3 linked regions of the Drosophila melanogaster genome follow. The protein of the gene in region 3 purifies or fractionates together with the protein of the main gene of each other region. This does not show direct contact. Each region holds a gene or a part of one and is shown on either strand. Other genes may lie near its edges. The genes, in order: insb, Sirt1 and dpn.

Region 1 (9,085 bases), 9.2 Mb from region 3:
ACACTGGAGTTCCACCCTCCTCCGCCTCCTTGCGATACTTTCGCACCCTAGTTGAAGTTCATCAGCATGAATAGTTGAACTCTAGGCAAACTGACCGCACTTACTCGTATGCCACCCTGGCGAATCCTCCGTAGCACTGATCCGTATTGGCCTCCTCCTTGGAGCAGGTGCCACTGGTCACACTCGTCTGCTCGAATCGGGCGTGCATGTCATTGTTGTGCAGAATGATGAACTCGGCGGCAACTTCCGCCCGGGGTGCAATGGGATTCGGCTGCACAGGATGAATCAGTAGAGCCAGTAGGCAGCATGATCCGATAAGGAGACCACGGGCAGGTAACATTTTGGTGCTGGAACAATAAACACAACAATCGCTGATAAGTTATCACACACGAAGGGATGAAATGTGGGTGGATAATCTTCGGTGAATAAGCACTGATTCGCGCACGGCAACTGGTTTGTCATAATCATTGTTTTTGCACTCATGAAAATCTAAAAATTTTAATAAAAAATTAATGCACTGCCACTTAATGAAGCGTGTTTTAAGTATTAGTTCGTTTTCTTATCCGAATGGTTTTACACATGTAATGGAAACACTTCAAACGTTGTTAACCAGATTTTCTACTTAGACTGTTGAAGGTCCTTTTCGACCTTATCACCAATCCACTGCTGAGAGGCAAATATTTATCAATCACGAGCGCGCAGAAATCGCAATTTATAGTTTATTGGGTGTTTTAAATCTAATCGCCGCTTATCACTTTGCGTGTGCAAAAAAAAAACACACAAATCCCCAGCACATTCTGCTCGACAAATTTCTGCCATCGCGGTCCACTTCACTCGGTCAACTGGTTTTCGATTGAACTCGGAAACGAGCTCGAACTTCAGCTTGCTCATGGCATTGGCCTAAAAGCTAACTCGGCTCAAAAAGGCCCGATCGATGTTACTTCAGAAGCAACGAATTACCAAATACCAACGATCGCTACTCACATGCACTCGTCGCACGGTCCGCGGGCTAACTGACTGACCCACCAAATTGGCTGAGAGTGCGAGAACCGTTATTAGCCGAAAACATAAAGCCGAGTACCTTAAACAGCAAAACCGAAATTTACTGCCTCGCGAAGCGGACTGATTACGATAAGGCCTCGTATTGCGATTGCGGGTTAAATTGGCTGAGAATGACAATGCGATGCTCTTTCTGCATTACCCCATTGTATTTCGATGTTTTGGAAGCCATCGGAAGCAGACATATCGCGCGATAATCGTCGGTTATAGATCAGATAATGGTGAATTGGCTATATATTTATCTGACTCATAGCCACTCAGACAGAGGCAGGTAGTTGGCCCAACAGTTGTCTAAACACAACGTGACATTCCCACGCCGAAATATGGATTGTACTAAAAAATATATACAGTGCACGCTCGCTACGGAGAATTTACATTCGGCGTAACTCTAGCATCAAACAGCATTTACTTGTAAGTGATCTAAACACATGAATCAAAGATCACGCATTCGAAAGGATATTTTTGGAATATCTATATCTGTAATTAATATTTGCACTTTTGTTTCATAGTAAAACATTTTCACTGTCACGAAATTATATGCAACATGGTTGCTTACCTATATTTAGAGTATTTACTGTACATGTTTATTGACGCACCATTAACAACAGTCCGCCGATTGTGCCGAGTAAGCCGATCTTTGTTATTAATTTCCCGAAAATTCCAAGCAAGTGTCTTCTGCGAACTTTCAGGCACATTCGATTGATGAACAATGAGGCCTGCTTGTTGCACAGATTTATGGCCGCCAAAATGGAAGGATAGATAAATATTGGAAAGATGAATTTCACTCAACAGCCGCGTAAATTACTTTATGAGTTTACTGCGAAGTTCTACCCACACGAAATGATCACAATTGCCGGGTTTTGGGCCACAGTTCATCCCCAAATTATCCGCTGCCACTTGTCGCGTGCTTCTCAAACTGTTCAATCATATAGTATGTATAATGGCTCAATAGACACACGACAGCTGCGGCTGTGGATAATGTATTTGCTATTTACTATTTGCTGCCTGTGTTCGGGCAAATAACTCAAAAACGAAAGGGAAAGGTACAACTTTCCTGCTCGAGATGTCGCCTAAATATATCCGAAAGATACAAGATACAACAGCAATTGAGTTGGTTCGAAAATAAATAGAAGATGCTTCGGCCAAGTTTAACTGAAATGGGGAGAGGAAAACCAGCACGCAATATTACACAATGTCAAGTGTACGATAAAAATGAGATAAAAATAATATATATGATTCAATTTTGATACGCCCTTAACAACATCAAGTGCTTATCAAGTAAATAATGTGTACACACACCATTGCCGACATACTAAATGCAAATATCCAATCCATCCATATCATAAGTTCACAGACTTGACGTCTGGGCGTGATTATTTAAATGCCCCTTCCGAAATTGCGAAACAACAATTCGCTGAGATAGTGTCAAATTCGCAGCCCCAAATAAATCGAATAATGCCCAATTTCCTTGACCATAAATAAACATTTATTGCTATCAATGAGATTGTTTCTTTTTTTTTTTCTTGGGACAGGAGATTCTTCATTTATGGTGTCATCTTATATTTCAGCACTCCCCCCTTCCCCCTTCCAACAAACCCAAAATATAAATCCCTTTATTTTAAATTATGGTCATGATTACACAATGCGCGGACATAAACCATAAAGCGAATTATGTTCATTCCAAATTTTGACAGCATTATCGATTAGCATTTTGGGACCACTCCACCTTTACTACGTTAACAATCGGCAATAAAGCCGATAAGAATTGGTTCTCCATGCCAACGGAGGTAAACGTGATTTCGTTCAAACTAACTCATACCGCATACCAATTTCCATGACAACGAAATTCGAAAATTTCTCGCAGTGCTTTTAGGTGTGCACTTATCATTGCAGTGGCAGGTCAAACTAACTCGCAGGGGAAGTGCCGATCGAAGAGATGAATGTGAAGCGTGCCAGCTGCAAATGCTTATCATGGTCGGGCATACCGCACTGGGGAATCTCCTACAAATATGCACATTAAACGAATTTTGTATGCAAATACGAAAATCTATATTCGTAAAGAAGCATCGTGATCAAAGTTCAAGTGATCAAAGTTCACAAACAAAATTTTAGGTAGCTTATTGGTAGAATACAATGCTTAACGGATACGTTAAATATTACCTAAATAGCTTAACTGTCTAACCTGAATAACTTATTCTTTAAGTGCGTCAGCAGTGCACGTTTTGCCAAGAAAAGCAATTTAAGCAATTACATATATCGGTCGTTGTTCGCTAAAACCAGATCGAAACTCATTTGAAATCAACTGAATTAAAAGTCCAGATTCGTTTATTTGTAGCAATTAAGTTAATTCGTCATTAAATTGACAACTTATACATTCAAAAAAAATTCATGAAAATTTATACGCTCAAAACTTGATTACCCAAGATTGTAAGGTATTGATAATTTATTTATGTCTGCTTTAAAATGTAAAAAAAAGAAAATTTGATTAAAATGCTTTATTTTCGCACACACCCTTCAATGCAACCCTATTAAAAAAAAGGACATAGGAAGGTAACTTGGGAATCGGCTATGCCGCACCGAAAGGAAACGGACACGGGACAACAACAACTGAAAGGTCGGAAAGGACGAGCAGGGCGCGCCTGTGATCCCGGGGGGATGGGGTGCAGGACGGATGCACGGAGGAAGGGAGGATATTCGGAGCGCGGCTGCTGCAGCGGCAGAGAAAGAGAGAGAGAGAGAGAGATAGAGAGAGAGAGAGAGAGAGGTAGAGAGAGAGGCAGCGCCAGCTGAGGGTTGCAATATCCTGCTGCTGCCGTTCAGGCTGTGGCCTGTAGCCAGTATCCTGTTGCCCTCCCGCTTCAGCTGCCGCAACTCAAACAGCTGCAACAATTTTTTTTTTTTTGGTTGCCGATGGATTGTTGTTTTTAATTTCCTTGGCGCGGCACATCCCCTAATGCCACTATCTCTGGTCCCTGCCGCATTTTGGGGTTGGAGTCGGCAGTTGCCAGTTGGTCGCCGGGGTGCAGTTGGTCGCAGCTCAGTCGTGGCGATCGCCAGGTGAACGAAGGTTGTGTCGCGCAGGAGCGAGTTGGAAAACCAAACGATTGCAGCTTAAGTCTAGTAGATCATCCTCTAAGCATGTCGGGCAAACTGATCATGAAGCGCAAGCGAGCCAGCCAGGAGGAGCAGCAGCAGGCGCAGGAGCAACGTGTCCAGCCGCAGGAACAGCAACAGGAGCAGCAACCGACTGAAGCGGTTCCGGAGAAACGCCATCGTCCTCTAACTCCACCAGCAGAAGAGCCAGGGCAGAATTGCCCCAACCCGCCAGATGCCCCCAATCGAATCCTTCTGGAAGCGCTGCAAAAAATAATGGAGCTGCAAGCGGAGCTGGATGCCTTTGAGCAGGATCTAAACGATCGAGATGGCTATGCGGCTGCCGGAGCTGAAGCGGAGGATGTTGAGGAAAGTGACGAGGATGCCGAGGTGGCGGCCCAGTTTGCGCCACCGACGCCAGCCCAAAGGAGTCAGGCGGAGGCACTGGGTTTTGCCATGTGTGCCAGAGAAACATTGCTGTTTCTGCAGAGCGAGGGAATACCCACGGAGTCGCCACTCTACCAGACTCTCCTTGGGAAATTGGTTGGGCAAAGCGATGGACTTCTGCACGCCTGAGAGCAAACCGGAGGGCAGGAACTCCTCCTCATTCTAGTCACTTTGCTGCGATCTCATTGCAAGTAAAACGAGAGAGAGAAACCAAGGGTTGCGAACTTTCCGGGGGTGGAAATTATGCAACACAGGGATCTGGGTATTCCTAAGCTATTTACTCTAGTCAATTATTGTAAAGCAATATAAAACACATAAGCAACAACGAAATAAATTATGTATATTGAAAGTAAAACATAAAGGAAGAGGTTTTAATTAAGATTGGGGGGTTCCATCCTAGCTGGGAATAAAAAAACACTCTACTACATCGATTTTCGATACATTTTAAATATATTTATTTATTCATTTAGTTATTACTTGTGTTATTTAATTTTACATATAATAATTAATGAGAATAACTCAATCGCCATATATTATTTCTTTGAATTCATTTTGTAGGTATGTATATCATATAAGTGTATATATTCTTATTGTTGTTAGGGCGGGGTGTTTTTGTTGTTCGGTTATTTCATTAACTTGGTATCATAAATTATCTGGGGGCTTGGGGAATCGCCCTAAAGTAGCATTTGTTATAATTTCATATTAGTTATCTGTATAATTTGTAACAACGATAATTATTTGTAATAAATGGTTGTAATTCCTTTGTATTATCTGTATTACTGATATTTCATTAAAACTAGATTTTAATTGTTTTTAACAATTTAACGTTTCACATGGTTGTATGTAAGTAAATGTTTCTTAAGGTTTTTGGACAAGATATCGTTTTATTCATCTTCTTATTCGAATTCGAGTATATGTTTATTTCATTGCGTTAGCAATGCCAACTTTATTCGCTCGATACTCAAATTAGGTTACATAAATATTAAAAATGATAATATCTATAAATTGGCATTTCAATTGGTAATTTCAGACCGGGAAGGGATCCGTCCATTGCCATCCACTCCCTCCGAATCCCTTCCTACAAACATTTGGCACACTCTCTTGGTTCTACTTAAGCTCTACAGAGAATTCTCATTAATCTAAAAACTAACTAAAGTGAGAAAACAGGAAACGAAATTTTGAGTTTTGGCAACGGATCAAATTGTCGATTACGAGTTATGTTTAGTTTTGTTACTTTTGTTAGTTCAGTGTATAATTAATGGAGACAACTGGACAAAGCAGACGACTCATTTTTGAACAATTGAGGAAACGAAATTTTGGGTTAATTACTTTGCTTTATCCAGCGTCATGGGTTAAATGTGTTAAGTACATTGAATTACATTGTTATTACGTTAATTTTGTATTGAGTTACATTGTTGGTTTAGTTAGAACTTTATATTCGTGTATAAGTAAATGGAGTATTTGTTATTCATACGCTTACGCTTGCGTTTAAGTATTCTTTTTTACTCTGTTATTGTTTTCGTATCTGGTGTTTTAATAAAGTAATCATTTGCAGCACTATCCACTTATGGACATTGTTTCACAATAAACTTGTATATATTTTGTAATTTGTTAGTTATTTGTAGTTCTTTAGTATTCGATATATTAATTCTGAATGCTCGAGTATTAGATAATTTTTGTTAGGGTTATTCTGTTACCTTTCGTGTCAACATGGGGTTAGTCGATCTCTGTTAATTATGTAAATATTAGAATTTGTAAGTGTATATATATATATTCTTTATCTGTATCGTTAGTTTTGTTAAATATATGCATATATAAATAAAATTATGGTTTAAGTGTGCCCTCTGTATTTATTATTATATTCTATTAAGTTAATTAATCTCATAGATTCTGTCTCTACCGACCGTCAGTCGGGTCCTTCTTTCCCTATACATAGCTTTGTCTTGCTGTATCAACTGGATTCGCTCTGTATCATCTGTACGCCAGACTATCCCAGCTCAACTTTGAGCTGAGCCGTGTGCTTAACTACTGATCACTCCCGACCGAATACAGCTCCCACTAATCATTCAGGCTCTTTAGTATCTTTAAGATGGTTTGTAAATAGAGATAAAAAACTGGACACAGTTTCGTCTGTGTTTTATAGCCAACGCGAAAGTATGGTTTTCGATTTGTTGATCCAGCCTCATCATCATTAAACGTTAATCCTTGCACGCAAAAATATATGTATAAATATATTTGTTATGTATATGTTTTGTATGTGGTATATATCGTAAAGTTCATTTTGTCCATTTTGTAAATACTCCTCCTACGCCTTCCTCTAATCTTATGAACTCAAGTGTACAAAGTTTCTGTGATGTTCATGTTGATGTGATTTTTCGATTTGCTTGTTCTGCTTGTAGTTCTTGTATCTGTTGGGTTCAGAAAAACTGCACGGGCAAGAACGGAAATGTGCCAATATGTAGCGAAGGATTAGCAGGTCTGTAAGAGAATGTTAATTTGGATTTAGAGAGATGTTCTTGTCTTTGATTTGCGGTGTATAATCGAAAGGGTTTTTTTTGCGTTTTCGGATCAATGCAAATCAATACGGGAACTTTGACGGATAAGCGGAGAGGTATATGTATGTTAGAAGCAAGCAAGCGGATTCACATAAAGCCCGTGTATTCATTTGCATTGTCCAAAGACATCGATTTAGTGTGGGTTGTGTGCAAGGACGAAGGAGTTCTCTTCTGCGTTCGATAATATCGCATTTCAATACCTTACTAAGAGCATATTGGGCACTGAAGCGGTTGTGGTGGTGTTGTTGCTGTGGTTTTTACTGCCTAATGTGTGATTGTTGATATTGTTGCTGTTGGCACTCTTTTGGCCATCCATTGGACCAAGTCGATAGGAGGATATAAATGAAACGTCGTTGGAGTTTTTCTCACCGACTGGGTGAAAGTTGCTATTGCAATTATTGTGGCTACTGGTGTTAATCATATTGCTGGCCCGGCTGCCATTGCTGCTGTTGTTGTTGTGGCCTGATAGCTGCGGTGGGAGATTTGGTTGCGACTGTTGGAGTTGTTGCTGATTTACCTAAAAGATAGTTGGGATTATTTTTATGGATCAGTCTGTTTATCAGTTGGGTACTCACCTTGGAACTGCCGTTGGAATTGTAGTAGTAGTTGGGATTTATGTTCTTGCCATTTTGGCACTCACTTGCTCCGTGATTTGGCAAAAAGTTGTTGCTGCTATTGGGTTGGGATTTCATGGTCAAATTTTGGGTGGTTGCCGCCGGGTTTGTACCTCGACCTCCGCTGGCACTACTAGGGTCCAGCAAATTTCACCTGTTAACATGGCTGCGATTGTGATTGGAACTGAGACCAGAGCCGCCGATGGCATTTGATTGAGAAGCGCCGCCAGTGCCCAGACCTACACCTCCGCCGCCGCCAGCTGAAGAGATGACTCGAAAAGTAACATACTGTCTGTAGAGGTAACCACTCCGTAACTCACCAGAATAGCCGGGTGAATGCTGATAGTATTCTCGTCTTCCATAATCCGGCTCGTAGTCGGAGCTTTCGTAGTGCCCACCCCGACCACCGCCACCGCTGATGCCGCCCACTCCGCCCAGAATGTTAGCTGGCGGTCCATGGGGTCCATGTCCATGAGTGCCATAGGAGTAGCTATCGTACGACTGGTGGGGATCATAACCAAGTCCGTCGTCATAGCCCCGACTGCAAAATGTGTTTGTTAAGTATGAATCCTTGATAATATCTATATCTAAGTAACATACCCATAGGTTTCGTCCATGGCCGTCCTGGCTTTTTCCAATATGGACATCACTTTCTGCTTCGGAGCCAGAACATTTTTACTAAAAGATGACGGCTGTGAGCTCCTAAAAAGGGTTAACGAAAGATACAAGTTAGGTACGTTTTTGACGCTAAATCTAGAAAAATATAATTCACCTATAGCTGTGATGCGGCGTGTTCTTGACCCCTCCAATCGGGTTGATTGAGCCGCCACCCAAGACATTGTTGCCTCCCTGCATGTGAGACGTCTTCTTATAGCCACTCTTGGCATTATCGTTGTCATTGAGGCTAGTGCTGTCCATCAGCTCGCGCAGCTGCTCCTGTCGGATAATGTCGTTACTGTCTGGGATCAAATACTTTCTCAGCTCGGCCATGGCGTAGGCGATTCGGGCGTAGGCTTCTGCGGGCGGCGCTATTGTCGATATCTCAACATGCAGATCGCTGTTGAGGTGAGCGTACTTGGGATCCTTGGAGCTGCGCAATTCCTCTTCTTTGACTCGATCGCGCATAGAGTTGCGGCCCAGGACGGTCATCTTGCAAAGGGTCTCCTCCTGAAGGCGGCGAAGGGAGTTGCCCTTGGGCCCCAGCAGTTTTCCAACGAAGTTGAACTGAATAATAAAAGATTAGCGGTCATGAAATGCGCCAGTCATAAAAATTGTACTCAATTTGAATTGGTTACAATTACTAGGTAAGCTAATCAG
Region 2 (11,685 bases), on a different chromosome or scaffold from region 3:
AATAGATACACTAAGAAATGTTTAATATTTTATTACAATAATTCTTATTTATTAAAATCTAAAATTAAATAGGCTTATGTTAACATTAACATTGGAACCACATAAACACTTGGAACCGAATCTTGAACCGGAACCATGCGTTTTTTATTGACACCCAAGAAGCAAGTTTTATAAATTGTGGTTATGTGAAAGAAAGAATGACATTGCTATTTTTATAAAATATAAAATAAAACCTAAACCTTAATTCGGTGAGAACTACGAATTTTTTATTTGGCATTTGAACATCTCACGTCCCTGAGAACTCGTTTTCTGTCATATCGAAGTAGCCCTTGGAAAAGCCAAAAGAAGTTTAGCAGGACCATCGGAAAAGTGAATCAGTCTTACAGGAGAACTCGCACCGGACGGTTGAAAAGTGTTCTGTGAAAAAATCCAAGGAAAATTTTGCTTGTTTCAGATTTTGTCAAGTCATGGAGCTGCCTTCAATGGTGGAGCGTTCGGGTGATCGCTTGGTGGTGCGCAGCTTGGTTAGTGGTGCTCCACTTTATCAGTCATCTATTGAGGGCGGAGCAGGTGCTGTGCTTCCTATGTCCCAAAGCGTGCAGCCGCTAATAGGTCAGGACTTTTTGGAGCAACAACTGGAGCAGTATAAGGCGAATAACTTTATGTTTCCACTATCGATGGCCGGGTTTGTTTCCGCAGACTCTGCACCACCGGGGGACTTGGCCAAGGAAAATATGGAGAACTCACTGCCAGATGGTAATCCGTGCAACAACAACAACGACGATGAGCTGCCGCAGTGCAAGATACGGCGTAACTACAGCTGCAACCAGTGCGCATTCTTCACGCAAAATCCGCGCAGTCATCTCTCGCATCTGCGGGACGTACATGGCGAGCGGATTGTGATCAACGAGTGCAAGTTGTGCCTCTATGCCTCACGCCACTTCCAGAAGCTGGTGCGGCACATGAAAATGGTGCACGGCTGTTCCGATGATGGCGGCGCAGTGCAGGGATCAGGTGCTCAGCCGCGTGGTAAGCGAAATCTCTCCAGGGAGGTGCGCAAGCGTCGTCTGGAGGAGAGCATTGAAGGCCAGGGTGCGACTGGGCAATGCCTAGACCTCAGCGTGCTGCGCATGATCCAAAATGGACCGCCACTGGAGCAGCTGAAAGTAGAACTGCAGCAGCAAGAGATGCAGCTACTGGCCAGTGTCCAGGCGTACAATCGACAGCAGGAGATGCTGCAGCTGCAGCAGATCGTCGAGAGCCACGACAACATATTCTCCATGGCCTACGAGTTCCAGACCAAGTTAATGCCGCCTAAGCAAGCAGAGTCCCTGAAATTGGAACAGCAAAACAGCAGCTCCGATTCCGAGGAGACTGCGAAGAGTCCTTCGCCGGATACCCGTGAATTGGTGTCGGGTAAGGAGCAGTTTCAATGCCAGAAGTGTTCATATAGCACGCCCATTCGAGCCAGATTCAAAAAGCATGTGAAGTACCATTCCATGCCACTGATCAAGTGCAGCTCATGTGATTTTCACACACCCTACAAGTGGAATCTAGACCGGCACACCAAGAACCATGGTGCCAATGGCCATTTCAAGTGCTCGTGCTGTGACTTTAGCACGGATATCAAACAATCGCTGACCATACACGAATCAAACCATCATGTGCCCATGCCGGTTCACCAAATGGGCAACCGAAGCCGAGATGAGGCTGAGGATCTGGTGGATCAGCAGTCAAGTGGTTCCAGGAAACCAGAAACGTTTAAAAATGGTGGTGCTACCGTTGCATCGACAGAATCTCTGCTTCCCCGGACTTCGGGGATCGTTTGTTCACACTGCCAGAAGCGGGTGGGCAATGCCATGCAGTTGATCAACCATCTACAAGTGTGCACTTTGGCCTTGCACAACACCACCCAACTGCAGGCTTCTATCAACGCGGAGGTGGATCTTCACGATGAGGACTTCCCCAATGCTCCCACTGATCTCAGTTATTGCGGCGTAGAAACAGCTCCTGGCTATGGGGAGGTAAAGTCCATATATATATAAGTACATGGTGTTGCAAACTTATCCCTTTAATTTCAGGTCACAGAAGTTTTGCCAGAGGAACCCGAAGATTTGGCGCCATTGAAGAAGGTTTTTAAGTGTCCTCATTGCAGTTTTTGGGCAGCCACTGCATCTCGCTTCCATGTCCACATCGTTGGTCATCTAAATAGGAAGCCCTTTGAATGCTCTCTGTGCGCCTATCGCTCCAACTGGCGCTGGGACATCACCAAGCACATCCGTTTGAAGGCCCTCCGCGATAGATCCCATAACCAGGCCCAGGTGCTGATGAACGATGAGACCGGTAGGCGCAACTACGCCAAGTACAATCAGTATCTGACTATGATGAAGGTAAGCGCCGAACAATTGGCCGATTCGAAGGGAATGCGCACGGGTGAAATGATTGTGATGCCGCCGGAGAAGCTAGACGACCATCATCCCATGGAAACGGAGGAGATCATCGAGATGGTGGATAGTGCTCATTCGACCTCGGCACTGGATTTACGAAAGCCCAGGGATGACCAGACGGAGGACTTGGCAGGCAACAGCGATGAGCTGCCGCAAGAGGGAGCCAAGACGGAGCCAAATTTAGAACCCTTGTCATTTAAATCATTGAATTCATCACAAGTCATGCCAAAGCCCAAAGGGTCGCCTATGAATTTGACCAAGACAGATGGTGGTCAATCAGACGAAACGACATCCGCTGATGAATCCAATGAAAGCGATTAAAACGGATCTTTCGAATCTTTGAATACTCAATTCTCAGCAACAATATTAAAAATTAAATAAAAATACGTAAATCGATTTAAATTTATCCGGTTTTTAAGATTTCTATGAGAGAACTATTATTGTGTATTCGTTTATAGTTTTGTAGGGATAATTGGGGCAAGTTCAGCCCAAAAAATAGGTACCAATAAATAAGTAGTTAATAGTTAATTTAGCGTGGCTAATGTATTAGTGACAGATCAGCTAAGCTTTAGTCTCGAATAATAACACTACGAATTTAGATCACGCGCTTTTCACAGCAAACATTCCTGTATGAAAAATAATACTATGCATATCAGGACGAACAGCGGCACCAGGAAGCAGACTTCATCTACGCTGAAAGTGCCCAGGATGAGCCACAAATCGAGGCAGAGATACCGCGCCTGCAGGAGCCACAACCACATGCACTAAGCCGTCTGGCACTGTACGCCCTCAAAGTGAGACGACTGTCCGTCCTCGTCTTCCTGCTGTCGTGGCTGCGGCTTATAGTCCGTCATTTGCACTTCCTCGGCGTTCTTTGGGATCACTATCGGCTGTCTGGGAGGGAGTAAGTCCTCCAGCATGGCCAACTGCGGTGCCGTGGCAAAGTCGTTGTCCGGAAACTTAACCTTAAACTTCATGTAGAGATCTCCACTGTCGGTGGCCTTGTTAAAAACAGGCATACCACTGCCTCGCACCATCTTGATCTGGTTGTGCTGCAACACTTCACCAGGGTACGTGCGCAGACAGACGTTTCGTCCATCCAAGTGCTTGAAACAATGCGAGTAGCCGCACAAGGCCTCCGTGATGTTGATCTCCAGGTCTCGCATGTACAGATTGGCATGGCGGCGCTGAAAGATTGGATGTTCCATCTGGGAGATGACTACAATCAGATCCCCAAATTCGCCGCCTCGCATTTGGTGGCCCTCATTTGCGAAGGGAACTTTTAGCATGTGCGGTGCTCCTCGCTCCACAACCAGGTCCCGCTTCATCTTCTGCTCTACGAAACCACTGCCCTGGCAGGGACTGCACTTCTTGTCGTCCCTTATGGTGAAGCCCCTGCCATCGCAAGTCGGACAGGTCTGCAAAAAAAAATAATTTAAATAATCTGCTCCGAAGTGTGGTATATGGGATCTCCACGGATGTGTGGTCCGCGGTGTGCATTCACTACAACTACAATCAATTCTTACATACCGTATCGAAGGGGCTGAGACCCATGAAGGTAAATGCGGCCGCTCGTCCAGCTCCGCCGCAGGTCTCGCAGCTCTCGTGCGCTTCCTTGGGACCGCCATCGCCGTTACACTTGGAGCACAGCTTCTGGCGATTGTACTCCACCTTCTTCTTCATGCCGCCGACGTAGATCTCCTCCAGGGTCAGCTCCACTTTTACCACGACTTTGCCATTGCGCCTGCCCCGACCTTCGGACGAGACTCGATCGAAGGGGAACCACTGGGCGAAGAATTCGGAGGCATCAGAGAATCCCTCGGCGCCCTCTTGCAGGCCCTTCAATCCATATCGGTCGTAGATGCGCCGCTTCTCGGGATCGGACAGCACTTCGTAGGCGAAGGATATTTCTTTAAACTTGTCGCCCGCATCGGGATTCTTGTCTGGATGGAACTCTTTTGCCAATTTTCGGTAGTTCTATTGGTGAAAAGGTGAATACAAACTATTTACCAACATATCGAATTGGAACTGTTACATACCTTTTTTATTTCCTCATCAGTTGCATCCGGAGCCACTTTAAGAACGTCGTATAAATTTAGGTTGTCCATTTCCTATTGCATCCCCAGTCCCCCTACAAACTAAAATATTTTGTACATTGTAAGTGTACGACTTATTAAATTATTTAACAATGTATTTATGACAATATTTTCAAGTCATATTGGCTAACAAGTATGCCCAAGTTCTACCAAAAACCTATAATTTTGGGGAAAGTACCAAATAAATACTTAAAATCGCAGCTTTTTTGGGGAACAGTAGACACTTGCTGGAACGTTCTGGAAATCTGTTTACACATTTTTGTATTTAACAGCTTGATGGAAGTTTTTGGACATATGAACTGCATATTATCAATACATCAATTTATAATACTACTATGAAATGTGTAAATATTGGACAAAAAAATTATTTTTACTTAATTGTTTAAATATCGAGTAAATTTGATAAGTAAAAGAGTGCTAAAATTAAAGTTCGAAGCATAATTTAAAATTAATTTTACTAACTTTTTGACAAATTATTGATATATTTTAAACAGTTTTTAAAGAAATGGATTAAATTAGATATGACATAAGGCAGTGGCCACTGTAGCAACACGTAATCACCCTCAAAAATCCCAAAAAATACTAAAAACATACCGTGATGAGTCATGCTGGCGGCACTTTCCATGCAGAAACGCGTTAGCACTTTCCACACGACGTGTCAGGGTCCCACCCGAATCACGTCTGCCAGCCCACATACACACACAGGCGCAGCTACGTGTGCCATCTTGCTTTTTTCATCGGAAAATTTTCCAGAAACTACGCTCGAAAATTACGAAAAAATCGCAACCAAATGGTGTCGAAATTTTTTTAAAATTTAAGTTTCGTGCATATACGTGAAATAAAGTCGGGTTGGTTGAAAAAATCGCGGCCAAACGATCGCTGGAGAATTTTTTCAATCAAGCCAAATGGGTGCGAAGCTGACGACGTAAAAATTTTTGTGTGTACCAACGAAAGAGCGGAGAAAACGGACGAGGCGAGAGCGCAAAGCGGAGAGACCGAGGAAACACTCGCGCAAGAAGAAGAAGAGCCAGCAACAGCACCAACTACGAGAGTTTTCTCTCCGTGAGTCTGTGTGTGTGCGCGTGTGCGCGCGCTTGGGTTCGGAAAAAATGATGGAAAATTACGAGGAAATTCGCCTGGGCCACATTAGGTCTAAAGATCTGGGCAACCAGGTGCCAGACACTACGCAATTCTATCCGCCAACTAAGTTTGATTTTGGCGCGGAAATTCTGGCCTCAACGTCAACAGAGGCAGAGGCAGAGGCAGAAGCAACAGCAACAACCACAGAACCAGCAACAAGCGAACTTGCTGGCAAAGCAAATGGTGAAATCAAAACAAAAACATTGGCTGCCAGGGAAGAACAAGAGATTGGCGCCAATTTGGAGCATAAAACCAAAAATCCCACAAAGTCAATGGGCGAGGATGAAGATGACGAGGAGGAGGAGGAAGAGGACGATGAGGAGGAGGAGGAGGACGACGAGGAGGGAATCACCGGAACGAGCAACGAGGATGAGGACTCCAGCTCAAATTGCTCCTCATCCGTGGAACCCGACTGGAAGCTGCGCTGGTTGCAACGAGAATTTTACACAGGTCGTGTGCCGCGCCAGGTTATTGCCAGCATTATGCCGCATTTCGCCACCGGCCTGGCGGGCGACACCGACGACTCCGTGCTGTGGGACTATTTGGCCCACCTGTTGAACGAGCCGAAGCGGCGCAACAAGCTGGCCTCAGTGAACACCTTCGACGATGTCATCAGTTTGGTCAAGAAATCACAGAAGATCATTGTGCTAACGGGAGCCGGAGTATCCGTCTCCTGCGGCATTCCGGACTTCCGGTCCACCAATGGCATATATGCGCGATTGGCCCATGATTTTCCCGATCTGCCCGATCCGCAGGCCATGTTTGATATCAACTACTTCAAGAGGGATCCACGACCGTTCTACAAGTTTGCCCGCGAGATATATCCCGGCGAGTTTCAGCCCTCACCCTGCCATCGTTTCATCAAAATGCTGGAGACCAAGGGCAAACTGTTGCGCAACTACACACAGAACATCGACACCCTCGAGCGGGTGGCAGGCATTCAGCGAGTAATCGAGTGTCACGGCTCCTTTTCAACGGCCTCGTGCACCAAGTGTCGTTTCAAGTGCAACGCTGACGCCCTGCGGGCGGACATATTTGCCCAGCGAATTCCGGTGTGCCCGCAGTGCCAGCCCAATAAGGAGCAGAGCGTGGATGCCTCGGTGGCCGTTACTGAGGAGGAGCTGCGCCAACTGGTCGAGAACGGCATCATGAAGCCGGATATCGTCTTTTTCGGCGAGGGTAGGTGCCATTTTTATACAGATTTATTATATATTATCAATAGCCTTGGTAAAATAAATGCAAGAATTTCAAATTCGACGATCAAAAGAAGTGTTTATTTAAGAGATAAACTATTGAAAATACAAAGTAACGCTATTTACCATATATCATATTGTGTTTGCTTTTCATATTGCCAACAGGACTGCCGGATGAGTACCACACGGTCATGGCCACCGACAAGGACGTGTGCGATCTACTGATCGTGATCGGCTCCTCGCTGAAGGTCCGACCTGTGGCCCACATTCCCAGCAGCATACCGGCCACGGTGCCGCAGATTCTTATCAATCGCGAGCAGCTGCATCACCTTAAGTTCGATGTGGAGCTGCTGGGCGACTCCGATGTGATCATCAACCAGATTTGCCACCGGTTGTCGGACAACGATGATTGCTGGCGGCAGCTGTGCTGCGATGAGTCAGTGCTTACCGAAAGCAAGGAGCTAATGCCTCCGGAGCACTCTAATCACCACCTCCATCATCATCTACTTCACCACCGCCACTGCAGTTCAGAGAGCGAGCGACAGTCGCAACTGGACACGGATACGCAGTCTATTAAATCAAATAGTTCGGCGGACTACATACTAGGATCAGCTGGCACCTGCTCGGATAGTGGATTTGAGTCATCTACTTTTAGCTGTGGAAAGCGTTCCACTGCCGCCGAAGCGGCAGCCATCGAACGTATTAAAACAGACATACTGGTTGAGCTGAACGAGACCACAGCCCTAAGTTGCGATCGTCTGGGCCTGGAAGGCCCTCAGACAACGGTGGAGAGCTATCGCCATCTTTCCATTGATTCCTCCAAGGATAGCGGCATCGAGCAGTGCGACAACGAAGCCACGCCTAGCTACGTGCGACCCAGCAATCTTGTTCAGGAGACCAAGACAGTGGCGCCCAGCCTGACGCCCATTCCACAACAGAGGGGAAAGCGACAGACAGCAGCCGAGCGTCTGCAGCCTGGAACATTCTATTCGCACACCAACAACTATTCGTATGTGTTTCCAGGAGCCCAGGTATTCTGGGACAACGATTACAGCGATGATGATGACGAAGAAGAGGAAAGATCACACAATAGACACAGTGATCTCTTTGGCAATGTGGGGCACAATTATAAGGATGATGATGAGGATGCATGTGATCTGAACGCCGTTCCATTGTCACCATTGCTACCGCCTTCACTGGAGGCTCACATAGTCACCGATATAGTGAATGGATCCAACGAACCGCTGCCCAACAGCAGTCCCGGCCAGAAAAGAACCGCCTGCATTATAGAACAGCAGCCAACGCCCGCTATTGAAACGGAAATTCCCCCACTAAAGAAGCGGCGACCAAGTGAGGAAAATAAGCAGCAGACCCAAATAGAAAGATCTGAGGAGAGTCCGCCTCCAGGACAGTTAGCAGCAGTGTAAACGTAATCTTAGCCCCTGCTAGTAGTGTAGTATTTATTTTAAATGCAATTCAAGCCAACTTGTAAACAGAGAAGCTGCGAAATCGTAGCCGAGGGCCATGTTACCAATTTCATTCCCCGGAAAGGTACTGGAATCGGAAACGGTAAACCGTTTACTTGTTATTTATTTAGAATATGAGAACACTTCAATTCCCGGTATCACGAAGTTTTCAAGAAATGAAACCGGATCCACTAGTTTACTCAATTCGAGGCTTTAGAGATCTGACCCTCGTTGCTTTACCACCAACCCCTTATGCCCAATCCCGTTTTGATATTTTTGAAAAACTCTTAGTTTATTTATTATCTCTCTTTTTCAAAACGAAACGCTGTAAATGTTAGTATTTTATTATATTAAGTTGTTATTGAGGCCTTTTTAGACAAACTAAAGAGATAAGCGGAAAGTTGAAAATCCTTTAGAAAGCAGGATTTCTTTGTATTCAAAGAGAAGCAGCGCCTCAACTTTAAATCTAGTTCTAAGCGTAACATATTCAAAACTATGCAAATGCAAACGGAAAAATACGTTAGTTTTAGTTAAAAACTAGACACAAACACTCTGTATATAAGCACTCGCCCCTAATTTGTATTGTACATGATTCTTTTTCTACTTTTTTGTGTTATCTCCTTACCATTTTATATTTCTATCGGTTATGGCAACTATTTTTTAACATTTATACACTCGCACCCACATCAAAATGTAACAGCGCATGGATTTCAAAATATTCATAAGAGTTGGAAATTTGGTGTGCGTGTTTGAAATGTTTATTCGAAACCTAGCATAAATATATAGCCACCAAACGCAGTGTAAACATAGCAGTAAGAATTTAGTCTATATGTCTTAAAAGTGTATTAATATCCAGAATATAAACCAATCTAAAAAAAAAAAAAACAGAAATGAAAATGAGTTTTGACTGTAGAGCACATATAAACCCAAAGAAAACCAACACATATAAAAGTTAGTCGGCGATATTTCAATACTTGCAATTTTGAATTCGGTTTTATTAAAGTATCTTGACATTAGCTGGTACCTTAGGGATATCTAAATACATATTTTATCATTAAGGTTGCCTTCTTCAAAAGTTTGCCTTACACCAATAATGCCCTCCTTGCAGAGATGTGTGACACCGGAACGAAGTTAACCGAAGGAGAGAGCGGCTAGTTAATCGTGGATCTTACAGACTAGGAGCGACTTCCAATCGCTCCGTTTACGACTGAAAGTTGAGGGCATGCTGCCTGGGTTATTTGCTTGCGCTTGCTTCTATATAAAATATGATATTCTTGGGTCCTATATAATCGGCGACGGCTTATTTTATGTACACTGTACAAGCCCATGCTATGCAATCTCCCCATATATTCATGTGAATACATGTGTTGCATGCATTGTTATTACTCTTATTTTTATAAAAATATGCGTGATTTAAAAAAAGTCACTGTCATCAATTCAATCATCTTTATACAATTGTTGATATAGAACTCTGACTGATATAACATGAGCGTACGCCTAAGGTCTACGGTTTACAATTTAATCGGTATAAAATAACGCGCTGTGAGACTTGAGTTAGTTATACAATTGTATCATGGATGGTTGATCCATTCTAGGCAACGTTTGTGTTTCGATTTCCAGTGCTAACAAAATACTTCAATATCTATATATCTATATATATATATATATATATTATATATGCATACGCAGTAGTGTACACGTATAAAAGTGTGTGTGTGTGTTCTATCGGTGATAACTTTCGTTTTGCTTTGAAAAAACTAAAATCCGCGCACTATAAAAACGGTGATTTGTTGGTCTTGTGGGATCTGGCTCTGCCCGGATTAACCTTGCACTTAAGCTGTGCAATAAGGTCGGAAATTTTCAGTGCTGGGCCCACCTTCATGCCCAACAGTGGCATGATATCGTCCTTGGTCAGCTGCAGGAGTCGCTTTCCGTCGATCTTGTTCCGGCTGAACGTGTCACAGTGGGCTGTGCAATCGTTCACCCGCAAGAACTGGGATACGTCGTACACGTTCCATGTATCCGGCACCAGCTCCAAGTGAGGTTCACTCGAATCGATGTCGGCCAGACGCGGAATGTACTTATTATTCGTCGCAGAGGAGTTCTATAGTGGGGTAAAAAATAAGGACTTAATTAGTTAACGTATGATGTTGCATTGCTGGTTGGGTGTGTGACGGAACGATTGGATGTCGGTGTGTTGGGGCTATTGGGGCTGTTGCAAGTACCAAAAATAACAGTGCGTAAATTAAATTATATACAAATTGGCGTTTTATGAACGATTTGATTTTGGTTATATACATTTATGCAGTTGTGTTACGGAGCTTTAGCACAGTGGTTTAAGTTGGGTCGGACAATCTATTTCATATGAAATAACAAAAACTTAAGCTAAACAAGGCAAACTTGGATTAATATGGAGTATTTTGGTGTATAAGCTGATGCTTCTATTTCGAAAAAAAAAGGCAAATAAATTAAAGGGGAATTCCTCTAAATAAAATTTAATTAATGTTTAAAACAAAAACCACTATGCTCTTTGGACCTCCCGTTTAGATGCGTGAGCTGAACTTCAGGCGGGCAAGCAGGCTGGCTGGCTAGATGGATGACTCTACGCACTATTATTCCGCTAAGTACTCACCGCAATGTAGCTAGTGGCTTTGCGACCCACAGTTGGTGGCGCAGGAGATTTAGTAGTAGATTTCTTTACCGTTTTGTTACTGCCCGTGGCGAGAGTTACCAGCGAGGCGGACCCACTTCCACTGCCCGATCCAGCGATCAGATCACTGGACGACTGTGTCGTTGACTGCTCGGAGATGTGGCTGGTGCTTCCGTCTCCATCGCCATCCGCATCGGGATCCTCCTCGTCGCCTTCCTCCTCGGGCTGATTGTTCTCGTAAAAGGCAGCATTGTGATGCTCCGGCTTTAGCTCCAGCTTGATGCTCAGCTTGGGTAAGTGCGGCGTGGTCTTGAGCGCAATTGTACGCGATTTGACTGGAATAACATTTGAAGATGCATGATGATATACAGGAATTCGAATGACTTTGATTAGAAAAAAAAAACTTACCCGACTGAGTATTATTATCGGTTGGAGTTTTGCCTCCCGCTGCTCCCTTTTTGGGCTTTCGCTTTCGCTGTATTTTGGGCTTTGGTGCCGGTTTCGGGGCCTGCTGATGTGCTACTCTCGGTGGGCCCTCTAGCTTATGGTTGACCAGTACACACCATCCGACTGGATATATATCGGCTGATTCGCAATCCAACCACTGGTCGTACTCATCCGTCCATCCGTCAAAGTGAACCTTGAGTAGTCGACCAACCACTCGCGCCACCGTGGCCACGCAAACGAGTCGGG
Region 3 (11,020 bases):
CTTAAGCAGGGGTGGATTACTGAGGGGTTTTTTGACTACATATCGAACTATATTTATTTTAAAACATTTTCAGTTTATGTTTGTCCATTTTTATAGGGAATTAATTTCTATGGTACACCATAACGGGTTTTTAAATAAAATTGTTCACTACGCCCATGACTTTTGTGGTTACGGGTTCCCTTTAATTTTTGTTGCAATGTTGCGCATGCCCGTGAGAGCAGCAGAAGGAGCAGAGAAAGAAGAAGAGGAAGCTGAGCTTATCTCTCTCGCTGAGAACTAAAGATGCTTCTGTCGCGTGGGTGTTGTTATTGTGACGCTGAGAACTCGACTTTCGCTTCTCTCTCACACTTGCTATAATTCCATTCGACTCTGTTTGGAAAGAGGTTAGTGAGCTAACTAACGCCCCTTGTGGGCGTGTGAGAAGTGCCATAAAAAGGAGCTGGATAATAACTGGCCTCTGTCGTTTGACCCGCTTCATGCTCGAGTGTCCTCGTCGAAAGTTCCCACACACGCCTCGTCCTGGCACCCTCTCTACCCCACCCTCTACGCGTCATCGCATGCCGATGCATACACGCACACGGACAAAGCCCGTTGATTGTGCGCTCTGCGTTTCGGTTTGTTTGTAATTTAAATTCTCATGCACTTCTGGCGATCGTCACTGGTAGAGGGGGAGGGGGAGAGGGAGGTACTAACCACCACCATTAAGAGGGTCCTGCGTCCTACTCCGCCTGCTTGGTGGTGGTGGTTTCCTTCCTTCCTACCATCCAGCCTTCCTTGCTTCCGAACTTCCCCCTTTTGCACGTGGATTTCCACCAAACGCCGTCTGCGCGACAACAAGGTGATCGTGAGAAAGTTTTTTTCTCACATTATTCCAAAGCGACTCCTGTTTTAATTTTAGCCTCTATCGGAATTAATATGCATTTATGAATTGATATGACTCGCGGTGGCTCGATTTTTACCCTAGGGGATGACTGTACTTATTGGAGGATTTACAGTTGTTGTCGTCAAGGGAAAAGGTAAATCGAGGGAAGTTCTGTGGAATTTTGTGGCTAGAGATCCCCTTGTTTCTTGTTATTCTTACTAATTTGATTGTCGATTGCATTTTATGATCTCAATACATATTTTTTGTTCTAAAAAGTTATTTAATGAATTCTTTTTCATTCTTTATCAAACTTTATTTTAAGCTTTATTAATACATTTAACATTTATGACCATCCGAAACCATTTGATTAACCCAAAATATAAGGAGAAAGTCGATTTTATTCATTAAGTCTATTTATATGTATATTTACTTTAGCTTCCTTAAACTAATTTTATATTGCTTTTTTGGGTGCATCTTTAACGATTAAAAACATACGCGTATGTACTTTCGTACTTTTTTATAGCACTACTTTTTTATAGCACTAAAAAGTTGATTTTCTATTATCGTATTCATCAATGCTAAATACATTTCATTTTTGGCTGGGGGCTTCGAAACTAGATGTTTTTTACGACAGATGTTAGGTCTTGAAATGTGCCACCGCAACTGCAACCGCAAATCTTTACAGCGAACAAATCCCACCTAATCTCCCCGCAACCCTTCCTCGTGTTCATAGTTTTGAGATCTTGAGCAGCTGTTTCGCATCAGGCACACTCCATACGAAATCCATTCGGAGACGCATCTTCTTCAATATTATGTAAGATGCTTGCCAGCAATTAGGGCCCGCTAGAAGCCAGAGGAAAACCCGTGCGCCCCTGAAAAGTCACTATTTCTTAGCGCCGACCATTGTCCGGGCCAAGTCCATTGTTCTCGTGGCTCGAAGAAGTGGCGGGGGATGCAGCCGGGAGAATGGAGTCGGCAGCTGTGCCAATTCTTGGCACGAGAGCAAGGACAGTTTAGTGCAAATGTTGGCTTAGGAGCAGCTGATCCACCAAGTGACCGTTACATCAGCTGGCATGGGTCACCAATCAATGGAATCAATGATATGGATTCGACCCAGCCCATCATGTGTGCTAGTTATTTAGGGTACGCCCAATAAATGTGAAAGTGTTCCTGAAGTCCAATAGCATATGGAATAGATATCAGCTTAAAACGTTCCATTAGATTTAAAAAAAACTTCTGACAATAACATGAAAATTGTAATTGAAGCTCTAAAAAGAAATATCAGCTCCCTATACCCAATAACATTCCAATATGTCTGGCTTTTCCGTTTGTCAACAAACCTTAATTTTCTCATAAGGACAAAAGTTTTAAATATTTAAGTTAGATTGTGCACCCAAATATATATAGCTAAAGGCGATAAAAAAAGCCAAATGTGTGACGAATCCCCTCAGCATATAAATTATTGCATCTTTTGTTTTTTTTGGGTGAAAACACTTTTCCCCCTTTTTGGAGTCTGTCAGAAAGAACTTTCCAGTTATTAGCCCGACTCCTGGCTGGCCATTTATCAAATTCATAAAAATGAAATCTCCCACAGCAGGAAGAAAAACAATCAAATAGTTGGGCGGCCCGTCACGACTTCTAATGCCCCGCAGACCGCACACTTCACTCAGGTTTCCCCTCGTCGCTAAGCGCCATAAAAATCAACAAGGAATTCATTTAAATCAACATATATCTTGGCCAAAGGAGGAGTTCTTCTCCTGCCCCCGCATCCGTAATCCACTTGGGTTTAGTTCCGTTTGGATCAGTTCACACATTTGCTACCGTTTCATATTTTTCATGCTCATTATTTCTGGTGCATATCTATGTATGTGTATGAATGAGAGGTACGGGGGAGTTGCAGCTAGCACACCCCAAGTAATAACTGCAGTTCCCACAGCTAAAAATACATACCCCCAAAGTCACTAATTTGAGGTTGAGAAAGGTCTCCATCTCCGTCTTAGTCTGCCGGTGCCCTCAGAATTGATTAAAAAAGAGGGAAGTAGATCGTCACTGGTCGACAGATCGAAGCTCCCAACCGACCGGGTGTACAATAAAAATTAAAGTGTTTTAATGTGTAAATCGTGCGTTGGAAACGACGCACCGAGGATCCGAGCCCGGGAAGCCCCAAAAAGGAGGACTGACAGATACAGATACAAGCCTGGCTACCGATCGTCAGCGATCGTGCCACACTAAATGGCGTTTACCTTGATCCCTGGGCCGGGAATAAGAAAAAAAAGGAAAGAAAGAAAGAGGAGAAGCCACAGCAGCAGCGGCGTTTGGGGCTGATATTGAACTTTGATTTCTGACTGGTTTCTTCGTTATAGAATTTCAATTCTCAGTTTCTGAAGAAGCTCTGCAGACTCTGCACGTTTCGCCAGACGATTGATCCACATATGTCGGATGGTTCTGAGGTTTCTTCTCCCTGGCCCATGGCACTTTTACATTTTGCCAGCTCATCGTGCTTATTTCGGGTTTCGTGGGAAAATGTTTGCCAAATTTGCGGCGTTCAAAGGAGCCAAAGTGATCGCCATTAAGCAGGGTGATGTGCTCATCAGTGCAGAATTCAGCCGAACCCCATGGTTTAGTTGCTGTGGATGTTTTAGTTGGTCAATCGTAGCCGTGGCATTTATTCAATTTACGAAAGTTGACATCGGATCAGTGCTGCAGAGCTTGTGCATGATGGATGATCGCCACAGATTATTGCTCAACACGGGATTTACGCTCAGGCCGCGAGGGATCACTTTGCACAACCAGGGTTGCCAGGCGGCGCAATACGTTTACGATCCCACCCAAAACTCCCCAAATCGGTCCATAGGTAGATCTACGTCAGCTGTCAGCTGGCGCATGGCCCGCGTCAGTGGTTATTGACAACTCCTTTGGTCGTAATCCTGCCAACATCGTAAAGTAATAAATTTGCCTGAAAAAGGAAAATCTGCCGGGGATCGACTATAAAAATTGGCCCAGCCAGGTAAGCTCCGTAATGATTGACCCCGACCCTCAGTCCCAGACCCACGACCGATCCAGGTCCGATTCCGATCCATTGCAAGTCGCGATTCCGTCCCGAAACCCAAGCAACCCCCTAAGACGCTTCTGCCGATGAGCCGACCAGGCAAAAGCGAAGAATTTGAAACTAAGGATTTCGCCTTGCAAGGGGGTTGGGTTGTCACGGGGGTTGCGGCAGCTGCGCCGAACAATTGCCAAGGAGTTCTCCTTAATGAATTGCAAATCATTCGCCGGGCATTGATCAAGTTTGTCCTTGCCAAGGGTGAAATCTGTGCGACTAAATGTGCCATCAGCCAGCCACCCAAAAGGGAAACGGACACAAACGGAACATCTGTCGCAAATAATGCTACTCACTGATAACTTATAGAAAATCTCACTTGATACATTTTTTAAGGAACTAAAGATTTTTTGCTTTGCTTTAGCAAATTTCAAGTACTAAAGAAGAATCGCTGTTAATTCTCTGAATATAGTTCATATTTTTGTTAACTATTGCTTTAATCAATTCATTAAAAGTAATAAGCAAGTAAAAAGTAAAAAAAAGTAAAGTAATAATATTCATAAGATTTATAGTAGCTTTGTATAATTATTGCTAAATATATGAATATTCTAAAACAAATAGATTGGGTATTAAGTCGGCTTCGACACGAATTAGAAGATTAAATTCAGTTATAAATTTTTGTTAAATTGTAATAAACTTTAAATTCATTAATGATATGTTATTGATTTTAATGCTTAATTTCCTTCAAAATTATTTAATATACAATGCTTGCTGTATTTTACAATAAAATCAACTAAATTTTGTGGGTTTCGTCAAGCCAAAGGCTAATGACTTGGCTTAACCGAATGTTGTGTTGTTTCTCGATCAGGCTCGACTTAGTCTCGTTTACTTGAGTTAAGCTCCTATTTTCACTAATCCCCTGGAATCCGCAATTCGTTGACTCGGCAACTCTGCCTGCCTGGGAATACCTACTCAAATACTCACTTAAATCTCACTCCGAGTGTGAACTCATTGGATTTGGGGTGGTTATGCACTCACTCACTCTCCGATTGAGCGCAACTGCGCTGCTGCGGTGAAAAGTTCTCAGTCTGCGGACGGCGATCGTTGGGCTGCCTACCTGCCTCAGCTCTGCCTCTGCCGCTGCCCGCGTCGCCAGGTAAGAGAGTCCCTCGGTTTCACTCGTGGACTCGTTTCGGCTTCGACCCGATTCGTTTTTAGCTGGTGCCCGTGGACTCGGAGGATCAGTATCCTTTTGGCATCTCGCGAGCGCGGTCGTCTGCCGCTCTCCTTTGAATGAACATTTAAAATACTATTCTATACGATTCGATAACCAGAACGATCTTTAACGCGTACCGCTTGTTAAGTTTTTGTTGTTCGGACATTACTAAGAAGTACGTGCAATAATTGTTATAACTATTTTCGTACTCGAACCAAAGTTATTGTGTTGTGAAAAAGACCAAATCGAAATCGAACTATCTTGGATTATCTCCCACTTGGATATACAAATTAAAATCGTTACAAAATGGATTACAAAAACGATATTAATTCCGACGACGATTTCGACTGCTCCAACGGCTATAGCGACAGCTATGGCTCCAATGGACGCATGTCCAATCCCAATGGATTGTCAAAAGCAGAACTTAGAAAGGTGAGTTCGCTCTTTTGCGATGAAATTGGACTCGCAAACTAAAAAATAGCAGAGTTTATTAGCACCCTCGATCGTTTTGAACCTTTTCATTTTAATGGCTTAGAAAATGTAAAGCATTAAATTAATTTTAAAAATCAAGTGAAACCCTTGTTTTATATAAACAAAGATATCCCTTAAACTGAAATAAATTCCTACGAAATAAACTAATTGATTCCCTTTCTTTTCTAGACCAACAAACCGATTATGGAGAAACGTCGCCGAGCTCGCATTAATCACTGCCTCAACGAACTGAAGTCCCTTATCCTGGAGGCGATGAAAAAAGACGTAAGTATCTTGCCCGAGCGTCAAAGCAGAAAAGGAGCGGTCCGCCCGCGAATTAGAAACTAGCCCCCGATCCCTTTTGGTTCACTTTCTTATAAATAATGTTAGTCCACAAAAAAAAACCTTTAAGGCACAAGTGTCCGAAGGGCGGCAGAACTACAAAAGAACAAAAAAATGTATAAAAAACGAACTCCTACGACACAAGAACTGAAAAAAAAAACACAAACCAAGGGCTCTAATTGAGTATTAAATTTTATTGATGATCATTACACTAGAGCGCCGACGAGGAGTCAGTCAAGAGACCAAAAAGTGTTAACAAGTCGAGGAATTACGCAGAAATCGCCGGAGATGCGAACGAAACCAGTTTCCAAGGAGTGATCCTGCTGTGAGAAACTACAAAGCAGAAATCAAGTAAAATTTGCCGCCGCAGAATTCTGCAGGAGAGCCGGACCAAAAATCAAATAAGAAAGACATTGAGGGAAAAAAGCAAAAGTAAACAAAAGGTTCAGACAGGGGAGCGGGGGAGGTTGAGGGGGCGGGGCTGGCGAGCGACCTGCGTGGGAACCTTTTGCTAAAATATGCAGTCCCAGCGGCGAGAAAGGGACGAACAATCGGGGACCGAAGACTGGCGAAGATCGCACTGCGCGAAAAAAGAAGATCAGGAAGAACGATTTGGAATCTTCTGTGCCCAAAAAGTCTTCATATGAGATCACAAACGATAAGATCGGCGAGTAGTTTATTTTAGAACCACTTACTAAAGACAGTCACTTTTCCATCATTAGTATTCACTTGCCAGAAAATTTGACTTTAAGCCCCCTTTTTGCTCAGTGCACAGTAGCAAGATCAGTCGTTCTTCTCGCTGGAGTTGCTGAATCTCACCTTGGTCGTGTGATATTTACAGAGTGGACTCGACTGAAGTGGACTGCAGATTACACGCGAATAGTTGGACATATGAGGCACGAAACGTGCTTCTTAACTTCGCTTTTTCCCAAGCTATTGAACTTGTTGTAGGGCCCCAAACAATTAGCCCGACCATCTCCCACCCCATCCCCATTTCATCATTATCTGACTTTGGTTCCTTCGTCTTCTATACTTTTAGCCGGCTCGTCATACCAAACTGGAGAAGGCCGACATACTTGAGATGACGGTGAAGCATCTGCAGTCGGTGCAGCGCCAGCAGCTCAACATGGCCATCCAATCGGATCCCAGCGTTGTCCAGAAGTTCAAGACGGGATTCGTTGAGTGCGCGGAGGAGGTGAACCGCTATGTAAGCCAAATGGATGGCATCGATACCGGTGTTCGTCAGCGGCTCAGCGCCCATCTTAACCAGTGTGCCAATAGTCTGGAGCAGATCGGTTCGATGAGCAACTTCAGCAATGGATACCGTGGTGGCTTGTTTCCCGCCACAGCTGTCACGGCTGCTCCCACTCCGCTGTTTCCCTCGTTGCCGCAGGACTTGAACAACAACAGCCGCACGGAGTCATCGGCTCCGGCCATCCAAATGGGTGGACTTCAGCTAATTCCCTCCCGCCTGCCCTCGGGAGAGTTTGCCCTCATCATGCCGAACACAGGTTCCGCTGCTCCGCCTCCGGGACCCTTTGCCTGGCCAGGATCTGCAGCGGGAGTCGCAGCTGGAACAGCCAGTGCCGCCTTGGCCAGCATTGCCAATCCCACACATCTAAATGACTATACACAGAGCTTCAGGATGAGCGCGTTCAGCAAACCGGTCAATACCTCAGTTCCGGCCAATCTTCCGGAAAACCTCATCCACACACTGCCCGGCCAAACGCAGCTGCCGGTGAAGAACAGCACAAGCCCACCGCTGAGCCCAATCTCCTCCATCTCCAGCCACTGCGAGGAGTCCCGGGCTGCCTCGCCCACCGTGGATGTGATGAGCAAGCACAGTTTCGCCGGCGTCTTCTCAACTCCGCCACCAACCAGCGCGGAGACCTCCTTCAACACCAGCGGATCCCTCAACTTGAGTGCCGGAAGCCACGACAGCAGCGGATGCTCGCGACCGCTGGCCCACTTGCAGCAACAGCAAGTGAGCTCCACCAGCGGAATCGCCAAGCGCGACAGGGAGGCGGAGGCCGAGTCCAGCGACTGCTCCCTGGACGAGCCCTCGTCCAAGAAATTCCTAGCTGGCGCCATCGAAAAGTCGAGCTCCGCTTGGAGGCCGTGGTAGATCAACCGCACAGGCCACTTCTATGTTACGTTTATACATTGTTAATTTATTTCATTGCAATTTTTTCAAAGATCACTTCAATGCTTTAGAACCCCATTAAGTTTCAACGATTTCTATATGTTTTTATGTATCCCCGTTTCGCTTTCTTCATTTTAAGTTCAGCTGTGATTTTGTATATTTTTTGTGTAGTTCTCGTTTAAGCGCTTTATACGACTATTATGTAGTTCATTAAATAATTATGTTCTTTAATGTTTCATTAACTGCTCAAGTATTTAAACAATTAAACGTGTTTCTATTTAAGTTATGTAGTTTTCATTGTATAGCGTTTATCATTAGGTCATTCACGTTTCTATATTAGTGTTTTAATTTAACGATTGTAATTTTAACTTTTAGGTAATGCAAAATTCGATGGAGTGAAAATAATGATAATAAAAAAAAAATGCTGCAAAAGAAAAATCCATCCAAATTTAATGGTTCCTTGGTTCTTAACTGATTAGAATTGGAAAATTCAAGATCGCATCAACAATCAATAGTACTTGAACTCATTGAAAAGTCGGAAGCTGAATTCAAATCAATACGGAAACAGCCTTATCATGTATGTTCGATGTTTTCGCAAAGTTTGATTGAAAAGATAACTCAATCGAAAGCTCCCAATCCATGCTATATAAGCAATAGGCGGAACACATTTAGTGTGTCAAAAACTAAATTATTGCAATCAAGAGCGCGCAGTGACTTTCAGGCGTGCATTGAAAAATCTCAGAAATTATAAAAACAATTTAATTGAAAAATTTTAATTTTACCATGCCAGGAAATCTGTTTCAAGTGTTACTAACTGTGGCGATCCTGCCAGCTATTAGTTTGGCATCTAGTTCTGAAGATGGTCTGCACCATTACCGTGCTTCTCCAAAGCTCACGGGTCCTGTGAAGCTCCTACACGATCCCGAGGACACCATTCTGAACACCTTGGATGGCGCTCTGGAGAAGATCTCCACCATCTACATGCAGGCCTTGTTCGCTGGTACCCACACCCCGGAACTGGAAGCCCCACTCCGAGCCCTCGAAATCGAGTTGTTCGATCTGCTGGACGAGCTCTATAATCAGAATCGTCTCAAGGACTATATAAAGTACGAGGCGGAAGTGACGCGACAAATGATAATCTACAACATGCTGAAGAGATTGTTTGGCTACACACAGGAAAATGAGGCTGGATCTGTCTGAGCTGTAAATTCTAAATATGTTTTCTAATTATAAGTCCTTCATCAATGCAAAAGTAGACGAAGTGAATTTTAATATACCACACCATACTATATACTATTGTATAATGCCTAAAATTCTTACTCATACAAATATTCAAGGTTTTTATTTTTTACTTTCTTATGTTACTTTGGTATTATCTTCGATATTTCAAAATAAAGTTAAAGTAAAGTAAAATTTTTGATAGTCAAGGAAATCGACTATCAAGTTTTTTTTTGTTATCTGTACGATTTCGGGTGATATTGTGGCAAAAGTATGTCCTATGGCCTTTGTATAAAATGAACAATTTTACAGGATTTTAATAAACTTAAGCCCTAGAAATAGAATGCGTTAATATACATATCTTTTTTATAATAATAATTTATTAATAATGAAATAGCAATAAATAATTATTTTGCTAACCGTTGGTTAGCAAAACCACTTGGCTAACAAAACATCCGTGTTAGAATTGACCTAAAGTGTTCATTGTGATCTCTTAATGAAAATGATTGAATAAGGTATCCAGATACAAATAGATTTACATCCTCATATCCCATTATTAATTTGTAGTTTCCACTTTAATGCCTTTCCCTTTCGACCCTTTTTTAATTTTTCTTCACAATTTGATTTCACTTCCGTAATAACTTCCGCAACAGCCTGTTCTCGTCCTGCGGCTGCCTTGCGTGTGGCTGTCGAGTGTCGCCCCGCCGTTTAGGGACTCGGATCCTCCAACATTTCGATCCCAGTACTTCCCACACTCAATCATATCGGCGCTGCTGTTACCCGATCCTGCTGTGAGAAAGGAACAACACCTTCGCCGAGCGATCAAAAATTATCATAATTTCCATTTCCTTTTACGCTATTATCCTTTTGCATTTCCCAATACCGATGCACTTGCTCGTTTGTTTCCCACACATCCTTGAGATCCCTTATCTGTGCTTGTTTGCTTTGTGGTGGTTCGCATTTCCCCCACCGCTGGCCTCCTTGCATTCCACTTGTCTCGCTGGATCCTTCGGTTTCATTCCTTTGTGCGCTGTGTGCGCAGTGTTTGCTGTGATTTGATGCTGGGATCGGAATCCTGTGCGTTTTCCGTGGGGTTTCGGCTATCACTTTTGTTTTTACTTTTGATTTCATTCTTGGGAATCTCTGTGGGAACGCGCTCGCCCATCAGTTCGTTCGTATATGAGTTAGGCACTCTACAAAATTTTTGGGCAAACTTGTTCAGCGTTATTAACAGAATTCGTCTTAGCGCCCCCTTAGTTCTTTGTCTTTGGGACTTTGGCATATTTAATTGTCATTTAACAAATTAACTTGCCAAAAATTCAAAAACTCTGGCACTGATTTTCCCACAGACAAATTCTCCTGCTTACAATAGAGTTATTCGTACGGAAAACAAAGTCATGCGGTGTTTCGGCGGAACTCTCCCACACACACATTTTGAATATGCCCCTGTGATCCTTTTCTGCTGCAAGAAAAGGATGAAATGTATCCCGGCTACCTGTGCATCGGCAAATTCAAATCGGCTGCGTTTCTCACAGCCAAAACAAAAATAGGTCCTGAATGGACCCAGCTATCTGCGTTTCTTGGGCCGATTTGGATTTCTTGTGCGTAACAAGTGTATCTATCGGTATCCGTGAGATGGTCGTGATTGAACAGCTTTGCGCAATGGTAAATGTGGAAATGGGCCTCCCTTAGTTTTCCCAGGATATGAGGGCCGTTGAAATTCCTTGA

The links.
Region 1: the proteins of dpn (region 3) and insb purify together in Drosophila melanogaster (affinity purification with western blotting; one study listed by BioGRID). This does not show direct contact.
Region 2: the proteins of dpn (region 3) and Sirt1 purify together in Drosophila melanogaster (affinity purification with western blotting, with the first as the bait; one study listed by BioGRID). This does not show direct contact.

Annotation. Positions count from the first base shown.
Region 1 is NT_033778.4:17,471,079-17,480,163, reverse strand, and holds insb (insensible), read left to right. Parts: upstream 1-3,891; 5' UTR 3,892-4,197; coding exon 4,198-4,728; 3' UTR 4,729-4,950; downstream 4,951-9,085. Other genes in the region: veil, read right to left, coding at 1-47, 105-340; qkr54B (quaking related 54B), read right to left, coding at 7,919-8,028, 8,089-8,309, 8,369-8,470, 8,541-8,992.
Region 2 is NT_033779.5:13,160,339-13,172,023, forward strand, and holds Sirt1 (sirtuin 1), read left to right. Parts: upstream 1-5,225; 5' UTR 5,226-5,652; coding exon 5,653-6,862; intron 6,863-7,041; coding exon 7,042-8,303; 3' UTR 8,304-9,213; downstream 9,214-11,685. Other genes in the region: kmg (kumgang), read left to right, coding at 468-2,024, 2,082-2,768; DnaJ-H (DnaJ homolog), read right to left, coding at 3,212-3,865, 3,978-4,424, 4,487-4,555; Sfmbt (Scm-related gene containing four mbt domains), read right to left, coding at 10,114-10,446, 10,975-11,327, 11,401-11,685. UniProt on the Drosophila melanogaster protein: NAD-dependent histone deacetylase involved in heterochromatic silencing. Mildly suppresses the heterochromatin-mediated silencing phenomenon known as position-effect variegation (PEV). Required for epigenetic silencing of the polycomb group proteins.
Region 3 is NT_033778.4:8,226,453-8,237,472, reverse strand, and holds dpn (deadpan), read left to right. Parts: upstream 1-5,142; 5' UTR 5,143-5,424; coding exon 5,425-5,550; intron 5,551-5,778; coding exon 5,779-5,874; intron 5,875-5,884; exon of another isoform or gene 5,885-6,369; intron 6,370-6,407; exon of another isoform or gene 6,408-6,970; coding exon 6,971-8,056; 3' UTR 8,057-8,502; downstream 8,503-11,020. Other genes in the region: CG34217 (uncharacterized protein), read left to right, coding at 8,858-9,274. UniProt on the Drosophila melanogaster protein: Transcriptional repressor of genes that require a bHLH protein for their transcription.